3 linked regions of the Cricetulus griseus genome follow. The protein of the gene in region 1 purifies or fractionates together with the protein of each later gene. This does not show direct contact. Links are inferred from orthologs where the notes say so. Each region holds a gene or a part of one and is shown in the gene's direction. Other genes may lie near its edges.

Region 1 (3,648 bases):
TGTCCAGTCATTCAGAGCCCAGGCTATACCATCTAGAATATGGTTTCTCAACAAGGAGTGATTCTGCCTCCGGTGATATTTGGAGACACTTTTTCCTTATCATAACTGTAAGTGCTACTTATATGTAGTAGGTAGAAGGCACAGACACTGCTCAGCTTTCAAGCATAGCACCTTTTGATAACAGAATAGCCTAGCCTCAAATATCTCATGTACTGAGGTTAAGAGAACCTGGTTTAACTTTATTGGAGTAGGATTTGGTTGCAATTGCCTTTGAATACCTAGGGATTCAAAGCTGGATTCCTGTCCAACCTAATATTCTTAATATTCCCTCCAATGCTTTGGCTTCTGAGTTGCTTGCACCATCAGAAGCCTGGATAGTCTGGTAGGATTCACTTATCAAAGGGCCAGACATATGACCTGGGAGTATAGACACGCATGCCCTTATTGGAGTGGAGCTCCCTGTCAGGTAATACAGGTCCCTGATGCAAAACTGGGTTTAACAGAGCCTGAGCCCAGGCATCATGTGGGACTGACTCCATGGACCAAGTATTAGGAGGACAGAAAGTTCTCATTAGAGAGCCTGCTTGGGATGAAATTCTGGTCTGTGAGCTTGTCTGTACACATTCATGGGGTCTGTGACTGAGCTTTCAAATTTCACTGTCCTTTTCTGTTATAGGTGGAGTGACTAGGATGACAGTGTCACTGGTGGTCATTATGTTTGAACTGACTGGCGGTCTGGAGTATATTGTGCCCCTGATGGCAGCTGCTGTCACCAGCAAGTGGGTGGCTGATGCCTTTGGGAAAGAAGGAATTTATGAAGCCCACATTCATTTGAATGGGTACCCATTTCTCGACGTGAAGGATGAGTTCACCCACCGTACTCTGGCCACTGATGTGATGCGACCCCGAAGGGGAGAACCACCATTGTCAGTACTCACCCAGGATAGCATGACTGTGGAGGATGTAGAGACACTCATCAAGGAGACAGACTACAATGGCTTTCCTGTGGTGGTCTCCAGAGACTCGGAGCGCCTCATCGGCTTTGCCCAGAGGCGAGAGCTGATCTTGGCTATAAGTGAGTACAGACAGGGAGGCTCTTATCTTTCCCTCAGAGGCCCTAGAATTAGCACATGGGTCCCAGGGAGTTCAGTAAGTCAGGGGCTCCCTTGACAAGCCCCCAATATGTCACTCAAGTCTAAGTGGTTAGTCCTAAACCTGTGGTCAAATGGGTAACACTAATTTGAGTCAATAGGTTGTATGTGTATACTTATGTATATGCATATATGTAATATCTATAGAAGAAACCATGAAATTTAGAGGAGGATATGGCAGGGAAACATAGGAGGAGTTGGAAAGGAAAAAGGAGGGGTGGAAATGATATAAATACAGTGCACTCATTATGATTATGTATTTCTTTTTTTAAAGAAAAATTTATTTATTATGTATACAGTATTCTGTATTTTGCCTGCATGCCAGAACAGGGCACCAGATCTCATTACAGATGGTTTTGAGCCACCATGTGGTTGCTGGGAATTGAATTCAGGACCTCTGGAAGAGCAGTTAGTGCTCTTAACCTCTGAGCCATCTCTCCAGCCCCAATGATTATGTATTTCTATATATCAAATTCATTATGATTTAATGAAAAATCATTTTAGAAAGCCAGAGTCTTCCAAGCTCTGATTTAAGCATATTTGTTACATAGGATCACAAATTTTGACCTGGGAGATGGTGGCACACACCTTTAATCCTAGCACTTAGGAGGCAGAGGCAGTCAGATCTCTGAGTTTGAGGCCAGCCTGGTCTACGTAGCTAGTTCCAGGATAGCCAGGGCTACACAGAGAAACCCTGTCTCAAAAACCAAAATGGAAAAAAAGGATACAAATGCTGATTGAACTAGCTTGGCCCACTGGGGCTGAGACTCTATATTCCTTCTGAGATTCTCAGGCATGCCAATGTTTTTGCCTCCAACTCAGATTGTGAAGAGCCAAGGTTTAAATGTTTAAACTCAAGCCCTGGGGTAGATATTCTTGTTTGGAATGTGGTTGCTGTGGGTACAGGCAACCACTGGGGGGGTCTCTTTCTGATAGGAAGTATACTGCTGCTTTTGTAGTTTTAAAGGAATTGTTGACTAAAGCTAAAAAGAAAGGAATGCTCTGAGAACAAAGTTGAACAGCATAGCTTATGTCAAAAATGGACTATTAGGTGGCATAGTCAGCCCACTGAAGTGGGGAGAGTTCTCTCTGGTACCTCACTCAGCACTGCACGAGTCTTTACTTCAGTCTCTGCCATTTTTTCCAATTCAACCAATTAGGGGACCACGTGGGTTAGCAAGCAGCATCATTCAAAATTAGTTCGATGTGATTATGTTTACCTAGTGTTTGAATTGAGGTCAGTCACCCTGAGGATCAGACTGTTTTATTTGGGTAACAGTGAAAGGAATGATATACAGGTGGGATGTTCCAAAGACAGGCTGTTCAAGGAAGCTACCCTATGGATTCATTGTGCCAGGGATGGCTGCAAGGGAAGGAAAGCAAGAGCAGTCCTGGGAAGAGTTGTAGAGAGCGTTCTATGCAAGGAGAAATAATGTGCCTCCCAGGACCGAAGTCCTGTGGACCTCAGGATGCAAGCAGTTGCAAAGGCCAGTGTAGGCCATCTTCCCATGCATGATAAACACCATGACCTGCCCATCAGCAGTCTTGCTCCGTGAATTACCCCTATATCATATGGGAGACAAGCCTCTAGCACTTTCGTGACCAGGGGCCAGTGTTATGTTCCGCCATGTCTTCCAGAATGTTCCTGCAGTGTAACAAAGAGATCTTCTTCCTTCTACCTGACTGCTCATTACCTCACCATGTACACATATTCACCAGACTACTGTTTCATCCTTTGGCCCTTTGTTCCTATTTTACAGGCACTTCCTTTTCTATTTTTGAACCCCCTTCCTCATACTCAATAGCTTAAAATATAATTAAGATATCTTCCTCTAAAGCTTTCCAAATGTTAGTGTAGATAAGCACTGCCTTGTAATTTTAATGGTTAACTCTCACAGAAAACAAAGTTTGAGTTTACATTTTAGGTACAATGGCAAATTCCTGTTTGAGTGCTCAGAGATGTTTTTCTTTATATAGGTCCTGTCTTGGAACAGGGAGGTGCCTTGAGGGGTAAACACTGCCTAACAAATAATAAGATCATTAAAAAGTTATTTAATACGGGTCATATTTGTTTTAAAATAACATAATCAGCAGCCTTTAAAATGCATTCAATCGCCCCAAAATCTTTTACACAAAGATTGAGTTTAGAAACTGAAGTAATAAATGTCACATAATCCATTACCTATTGTGCTGCTCCAGGCACACCTGCTAAGAGACATCTTACTAATTTTGCTTAAAGCCATTACTGTAATCAAGTGGGAAGTGATAATTGGCATCAACTGCTTGGAGAAGAAATTTAAGCTCTGCAAGCCTGCACCCTCTCAGAAGCTATGTTTGGAATACCCGAAGAGGCACCATGCAGTGTAAATCATATTTCTGTGCTTTCAGTTAGGCCCATCATAGTGCAGAAGCTGCTATTGCTACGGCTTGCTGAAAGAGGAGGGGTGCTTTGCTCCAGGGAATCAGACAAGCTGTTTCCCTAAGCCCTGGAAACAGA
Region 2 (3,624 bases), on another chromosome or scaffold:
AAAACTCAGGGAAAAGGCAAAATAAAAACAGTAAATTACAATTGAAGCTGTTTGTCATGTGGGCAGCTGTGTTGACATCTCATCCATGGGTAGATTAGTGGGGCGGTTTCCTGTGTAATGACTACAAACATCCATTTGAATCAGTTTATTGTGACAGGAGAATCTGGCTTTGTATGAAAACCAGGGTAACCTTCATTGACTTCTTTCCTAAGATAGCAATTAACATTGAAGTCGTGGAGCACTCTGCAATGAAGGTTGTAAGTTTTTGTAGATTAGACATGCTGAAGTAAGCCAGTCCTCACTCTCCTTGATAAGAGAAGGTACTAAAGCACATGAGCTCTGTCGAACTGCAGAGTGGGGAAGAGAGAAGCCAGAAAGTTTTGGAAAACAGTCCATCAGTGCACATTGAAAGCTCAGAGATACATGAAGACCAATCAAGATGTGGCCCTGAGAACACCTGGCTGCTCTATTGGCCCTTGGCTGGCATGCCATCAGTTCTGATATAATGGGAATCGGGAAATGGAAAGACAGAGCTCTCCTCTGCCACAGATGAGCTATTAAGTATTGATCAATACAGAGGAAAATCCCACATTATTAATATCTGTCATGGAGATAGTAATGTGAAAACAGGTTTTCTTCCTTCCTTCCTTCCTTCCTTCCTTCCTTCCTTCTTTCTTCCTCCTTCCTTCCTTCCTTCCTTCCTTCCTTCCTTCCTTCCTTCCTTCCTTCCTAAAGGGGTCCTACAAGTCACAGCTTTTGAGTTTTTATTATTACTATTTTTAAGATTTTTTTTATGTGCATTTGGGTTTTGCCTGTATGTATGTCTGTGTGAGGATGCCAGATCCCCTGGAACTGGAGCTACAGACACTTATGAACTGCCATATGGGTGCTGGGAATTGAGCCCAGGTCTTTTAGAAGAGCAACCAGTGCTCTTAACCGCTGTGCCATCTCTCCACCCCTGAAAACAGGCTTCCTTAATGGAGGTGTAGGTGGTGTGTGCCTGAAGTGCTAGTCTTGGGAGTGGGAAGTTGGAGGACCACTAGGTTGAGGTTAGTCTGGACAATATAGTTTTCCAAGCTAGCCTGGATGACATGGTAAGACCATAGCACAAGAAGTGACTAAAAATTTTTAGAGATTTTTAAAGTTTTATGTGGCTGTGTATACACAGTTTTGCAGGTGTCTTGGGAGGCCAGTATAAGGTGTCAGGTCCCTTGGAGCTGGACTTACAGGCAATTGTGAGCTGCCTTAACATGGGTGCTGGAAACAGGTCCTTTGGAGGAGCAGCAGGCATTCTTAATTACTAAACCATTACTCTAGTCCCTTTAAAAATTTTAATTGCATTAAAGTAACTAGTTTGTTTATTTGGGGGGCATGGGTGAGAGGGTGGGCACATGCATGCCTCAGGGCATGTGGAGGTCAGAGGACAACTTGCAGGAGTTAGTTCTTTCTTTTCACCATGTGGGCCCCAGGATCAAACTCAGGTCAGGCTTGGTGTCAAGTGCCTTCAGCTGCTGAGCCGTTTCACTGGCTCAAGAAAATAGACTTTATCCTCCCACTAACCAGGAAGGACTTCTCTAACGAAAATGACCCTCATCCTTTTCTTGGTTTCTGCTCCTTAAAGAAGATGCCTTTGAAAATGGTGACCTATTGGTGTGTTTCTCACATACCCCTTGTTGTTCCTGTCTCTGGAATCTTCTGCTTTGGTATCTGAGTTTGTCCTGTTTCTGACTGAAGGGCTAGAATCTCCTGTCCTAGTCTGGCTCACAGGCTCTTTGTTCTGTGTGTGTTCTATGCTGTTCCTGCATCTCTAACACCTTCCACTGAACTTTCAGGATCACCAGCCTTTTGCCAACGCCCATGATGTGCTGGCCCGCTCCCGCAGCAGAGCCAACGTTCTAAACAAGGTGGAGTATGCACAGCAGCGCTGGAAGCTTCAGGTTCAGGAACAGCGGAAGTCTGTCTTCGACCGACATGTTGTCCTCAGCTAACTGGGAATCAGAATCAAGGTGACTAGAAAAAACACGACAGACAACTGGAAAGAATTGACTGGGTGTCAGTGGGTTTTAATGCCTGTTGTTTTTACAAACCCTTACTGGATGGAGGCAGGCTCAAAGTTGGAAGCAGACCCACATGCTTAGTATTTTTTCTTGTTAATGTATTAATAGAGACATTTTTAAAGCACACAGTTCCAAGTCAGCCAGTAAACCTTTTCCTACTTGTGACTTTTACTAATAAAATTAAGCTGCCTGTGAGTTATCGTCAAGTCCTGTGCCTGGAACAAGCTCTCTTTCTCACCACACAGCAACTTGGTTATCAAGATAATTTCCAGGTGTGCTTTTGCCTCTGTTTTTCTGTGGCGGGAGAAGGAAGGGAAGCCTTGGGAGTGCTTGACATAGTTTCTCTCAAGTCTCTTTACTAGACAGACTTGTAAATACACCAGACCTTCTATTTCACTGTTAGTATTTCCAGTGTGGCCAGCTCATCAGTGTGCTAGCCTCCACACATGACTTTTGCACTGACTACATCACTAAGATTCTGGTTGGCTTGTGGCTGTGTTTCTTGGTAAGCTGGATTTAAAATGCCTGGTGGCTCTCCACAAAATGCAGACTTGTTTCGTGCGATGTGATGTCTGATGCAACACATCCAAGAACAAACTGGCCGTTTGCTAGTTTACTCTAATAACTAAACACAGTGTGTGTGGTCTTCCTCATCTTCTTCTAGTATCTCTAAGGACTTGAACATTTAGAATAAAGACATTTTCTCTTAAGCCCAAGCCTCCCTGGATGAATGGCATACACATACTGGTCAGCATTTCCTGTCGTGCTGAGAGGCAGCTATTTGAACTAATGTGGGCAGCTTTGAACTAGGACTGGAGTTCGGATTGCCTCTCTCTCAGAAGTCTAACAGTTATTGGATAACTGGCTTTTTTCTTCCTACATCCTCTTTGGAATGTAACAATAAAATAATTTTCAAAACCCCTATAAGTGTGTCTGCTCTCTAGCCTTCTGTCTTTCCTCTTGTGCTGTGTGATAAGCATGATGACACAGAGACCTTTGGTACCAAGTTGTTTGAAAACATGTTATGCAACCTAATCCTAAAACACTGACCCTGTTGTATGGTGTACGGGGGCAAAGAGAATGATGATGCATTCCTGGGTATACAAGTAGTCAGTTGAGAGGCTTTACATTCATAAACCAGGCATGGTACTGAAAGCCCATAATCCTAGCACTTGGGAGATTGACACAAGTGGGTTGATTGGAATTCAGTCATCCTGGACTGTGATGAGACACATACATGCACACACACACACACACATACATGCACACGCGCACACACACACACACGTGTGTGTGTGTGTGTGCGCGTGTGTATGAAAAACAAGATTTATATAATTCATAAAGGAGTGCTGATTCTGTGAAGTTCTTGGCAAAATCATATTACAGATATATTAAATTCATATTAACATATTATTACATTAAATTCTTTTTTTTTTTTTTTTTTGGTTTTTCGAGACAGGGTTTATCTGTGTAGCTTTGAAGCCTATCCTGGCACTCGCTCCGGAGACCAGGCTGACCTCGAACTCACAGAGATCCGCCTGCCTCTGCCTCCCGAGTGCTGGGATTA
Region 3 (4,300 bases), on another chromosome or scaffold:
GGTTTAATAAGGAGCTGAATGGCCAGTAACTAGGCAGGAAAAGGTTAGGCAGAACTTCTGGGGACAGAGAGGATTCTGGGAAGAAGAAAAGTGGAGTCTCCAGCCAGACATGGAGGAAACAGCATGGACGGTACAGAGAGATGAAGTAAAGAGCCACACCACAGAACACAGATGAAAATAAATGGGTTAATTTAAATTATAAGAGCTAGGGGGACAAGCCTAAGCTAAGACCAAGATTTCATAATTAATAGTAAGTCTCTGTATTGTTATGTTTTTGTGAGCTGGTGGCCCAAAGTCTGCTACAAGGTAACACAGTCACAGGTTCTGGCAGTAGCACAGGGACCTTTGATAGCCATGCTGGTATTCTTATCACACTCTGACAGCTCAGAGAGCTCCTTGCTACCTTACCATCAAAGCTTCACCGCCATCCTGGGCTCTCCTGGCTCGTGGTCTAACTTTCCCACTAGCTATTGCATTCTTTTTTTCCCAACAACAAAGCTCTTACTATCCTAAATTGTAACAGCTGGTTAAACATTGTTTTCTTTGTGGTGTTTAAGTTCTACAAGAGCAGAGTCAAGGTTTGCCTCCACCCTCCCCTAAACAGCCTGCGTGTCTAGCATAGGACCCGACACAATAATATGCCAGGGGAGGAAAACTCTTCTGTGGCACATGGTTCTCCTTGCTAAATTACATTCTGGTCATGCGACTATCCCTCCATCCAGGAACCCCAATCCCTTAAAGCCTAAGAGACTCTTAGCTAAAGAAACTGGTACCCAGAGAGGGAAGGCGTGGTCTCTGGGGTAACACAGGTGATTTCTTCCCTGAAGGACTGAGGCCAAAGCTCAATTGTCCTCACTGTAGTGGCCCTGGGCTCTGATGACTGCACTTTGCTGCACTGTCTCAATTTGCCAGGTCTTTAGAGCCAGTGTAGGCTAATGAGGCACAGCCCCCTGCAGACCACACCTACTAACCCTGTTTTATTCTCCCTAGGTTGTTGTCTTAGTGTGTGTGTGTGGGGGGGGGGGGGGGTAATAGTGACTGGGTCCTTTAGTTCCCTGTAAAACATGTGGCTCTTTAAATATTTTCAGACTGTAAATAAGCACAATCAACCTTGATCTTGTTTTTAAATTGTTATTGTTGTTACTAGCTTCATTTCCAAAAGGCTTTCCCTGAAACAGGAAGATAGTATAACGCGAGGAAGAACAAAGCACTCTGGGAGGAGTTGGCAGGACCCTCCGAGATAGATCTTCGGTTCTCTGTAGGAAAGGCAGACAGTCCCTTTTCTTGCTAGGTCCTGGTAGAGAAATGTCTTCCTCTCCCTAGAGTGGGAGCCTCCAGGACCAGGCGAAGGTGGGACTTGTTGTCTTGACGACTAGCGAGGTTGGGCTGAGCGGCGGCTCTAGCAGCCAATAGAAACTGGAGGGGTGGGGCTTGCTGGTCTGTGGAGGCTGCGGCGGAGCTTGCAGGTTGGTGGACCGCGCTTTGGGGGAGGGGTGCCGGGGGTCGCAGGGACACTGGGGGTTCCCGGCCGCCCCAAATCCTTAGGCAGGGTGTGCAGTGCCCTTGGCAGTCGGAATCGGGGCTTTTCGTTGGTCCCGAGCGGCGCTACGGGGGCAGTGGAGGCAGAGAGGTGGGAGGCGAGGGTAGGAGCGGGGCCTGCTGGTGACGGGATCTGGGGGCTCCGGGAGGCTGTAACCCCAGAAGACTCCCGCTGCTCGTGCACGGGAAGCTCCTGAGAGCTGGACTTGGGGAGCGAAAGGTTTAGAAGGCCCAGGAATCCTGGAACTCAGCCCCCTTGCGTCGTCTGGCAAAGCTGTAATGGGGCCGAGCTGTGTTGTGACCACCTTCCCTTCTTCCGACTCCATGTTTCTTTTTATCCCCCTAGGCGTCTAGTCTTGCTGGCTCAGCAAGCCTGATAAGCATGAAGCTGCTGTGTTTGGTGGCTGTGGTGGGGAGCTTGCTGGTGCCCCCAGCTCAAGCCAACAAGGTGAGGGAGGTGAGCCAGCAGCACCTTGTTGCTCTAGCACCGGGCCTGCGGGGCTTTAGCAGCACCACTCTTTGCCCCTCACCCACCCGAGGACCACACTTGGAGGACCTTACCTGGGGCAAGCTGCAGGCCTTCCCTAGGGGTGTAGGGAACACAGGGTTTGGAGCACCACACCGCACAGGTTTCAGACCAGACTGGCCCTCGGCGGAATTCCCCACAAGCAAGAAAGTTTGTTTAGAGCAGTTACCCAAGTTCTCCATGTCTTCCTTTGCCCTAAGTAAAAACAGCTGTGTTCGAATCTGCTGCTCTATTTGGGGATAATCAAATCACATAACGTTGTAAAGTGCTCTCTGAGTGTAAAGGCATGCACAGATGGTGGTTTCTGCTTCCAGCTGACACAGCTTCGTGGTACACTCCTGAGATTGCTCCCATTCCTTAGGGCTGGAGGACCAGCAGCTGGGTTTGGATGCTCTCTCTTTGTAACAGAGGTCCTATGGCTTTAGATTCTGAGGGTCACCAAGATATTGAGTAGCAGGGCTTGCTTCTTTGCCCTGAAGGAATTCCTGGAGGGAGCCTGCCCATGGAAACACCCACTTTTCTTTATTCAACCCTTCCTCCATCCTAACCTAGGGAGTTAAGACAGATTTGGGGGGAATTCTGGCCCACCTACCCCACCAGACAGAAAATACACAAGTGTGGGCCTCAGGGTTGAGGCCTGTCACTTTGCTTGCTGTATGTCCTGCCTCAGGCAACTTCTGTTTCTTTTGATACCAGAGAGGTTCCTATCTTGAGGCCCCTGTGATGTGGCAGCCTTCCTATAGAGATAGTCCTCCTTGAATTGGGGATGGGAAAATTCAAAAGCATACATATGTACCTCACAGAACAGGACACAAAACTGAAGTGTGCTAGCCTGCCCAGAATCTGAACCCAGGCAGGGTCTTTCCTGCTATTTACTCTTTGTCTTTCTTCCAGAGCTCTGAGGATATCCGGTGCAAATGCATTTGTCCACCTTACAGAAACATCAGTGGGCACATTTACAACCAGAATGTGTCTCAGAAGGACTGGTAAGGCAGTGTAAATGGCTGGCCCTTGGCACAATCACCTGGCTGAAATGATCAGGGCTTTCCTAGACTTCCTATTCTAGAGATAAATTACCCATTTCTGTGGAGTGCCTGCAAAAGAATATTTTGTCCTTAACCATTTGATAACAAAACCCAGGGATCTTGAATTACAGCTTGGGGGGGGCAGTGTTGGATTTTGTTTTCGATTTCAGTTGATGTGAAGAGTGGTGGTAGATAAGTGGGAGGGGCAGGTGTACATAGTATATACCTCGGTACTTTTGCAAACCTGTGTGCTTTGCTGGTTTCATAGCAACCTTCTAATGTAAATAGAGTAGATGCTGTTCCCATTTTATAATTGCATAGACTCAGGTCCAAACAAAGATCTTACGTTGTGCTCCTTGTGTCTCTGGTCTTGAATTCATTTCTTAGCCCCTTACTTAAAAAAGCACAAATAACCAAGAATGCATTCAGGTAAAGAATGTGAAGGTGAAAGGAAGAATAAATACTGTGTTCTAGAAGGAATAGTTTAAGGAGCTAGAATCTCCCTGAAAAGGGAGAGACCTGGGGACATTCCGTGAATGTTCAAGATTGGGAGAACAGCTGCTGAGGGGAAGGGGCATTTGGGATTGGAACCACGAAGGCTTGGGATGATCACATAGTGTAGACGGAAGGCCAGTGGATGGGATGACAGCTTCAGGGAGTCAGCCTCAGTGTGAGTGAGGGAAACATTGCCAGTGCTGGAAGGATGGGAAGCTTCATCCTTGAAGACATCACGGGGTAAGGTCAAGGTGTATGCAGTGAATGGGGGTGGGGGCCAAGGTTGCTACTACCTGTGCATCAGGGAATCACTAGGTGCGCTTTAAGAAAATTTGCAGTTCCGACAGTCTCCTGCCAAGATTTTGATTCAGCAAATATGGTAGCATCTGTCAGAAGAGTAACCTTTGCTTGGAGTCCTTGAGGTGCTCATGATGCCATTGATCCAGAGCACATTTGAGAGTTTTCAGATTCGTAGCAGTTGAATTTTCTGAAAGCCAGTGTTTGTGCATGTTTAGACTCTGGATCCAACTTTTCTGGACCCAAGTCTAGCTTTTTCATTTGTTCATCGTGATTTAGATTACTTAATCCCCACTGTACTTTGGTTTACTTTCTTAATTTTTATGTATATATTTATGTATTGGTGGATGTGTTTGCCCACTTGTCAGGTCACTATGTGTATACAGTGCCTGTGGAGGCCAAAAGAAGGCATCAGATC

Evidence for each region.
Region 2: the proteins of Clcn4 (region 1) and Tmem9b purify together in Homo sapiens (co-immunoprecipitation; 3 studies listed by BioGRID and IntAct, with this or other methods). This does not show direct contact. The link is inferred for Cricetulus griseus from reciprocal best matches to the Homo sapiens genes CLCN4 and TMEM9B.
Region 3: the proteins of Clcn4 (region 1) and Tmem9 purify together in Homo sapiens (co-immunoprecipitation; 3 studies listed by BioGRID and IntAct, with this or other methods). This does not show direct contact. The link is inferred for Cricetulus griseus from reciprocal best matches to the Homo sapiens genes CLCN4 and TMEM9.

What each region holds. Positions count from the first base shown.
Region 1 is NC_048604.1:105,027,003-105,030,650, reverse strand, and holds part of Clcn4 (H(+)/Cl(-) exchange transporter 4), read left to right. Parts: intron 1-676; coding exon 677-1,075; intron 1,076-3,648. UniProt on the Homo sapiens protein: Strongly outwardly rectifying, electrogenic H(+)/Cl(-)exchanger which mediates the exchange of chloride ions against protons.
Region 2 is NC_048596.1:90,983,537-90,987,160, forward strand, and holds the end of Tmem9b (transmembrane protein 9B), read left to right. Parts: intron 1-1,832; coding exon 1,833-1,988; 3' UTR 1,989-2,981; downstream 2,982-3,624. UniProt on the Homo sapiens protein: Enhances production of pro-inflammatory cytokines induced by TNF, IL1B, and TLR ligands. Has a role in TNF activation of both the NF-kappaB and MAPK pathways.
Region 3 is NC_048598.1:53,257,772-53,262,071, reverse strand, and holds the start of Tmem9 (transmembrane protein 9), read left to right. Parts: upstream 1-1,380; 5' UTR 1,381-1,466; intron 1,467-1,492; exon of another isoform or gene 1,493-1,630; intron 1,631-1,885; 5' UTR 1,886-1,921; coding exon 1,922-1,996; intron 1,997-2,959; coding exon 2,960-3,051; intron 3,052-4,300. UniProt on the Homo sapiens protein: Transmembrane protein that binds to and facilitates the assembly of lysosomal proton-transporting V-type ATPase (v-ATPase), resulting in enhanced lysosomal acidification and trafficking.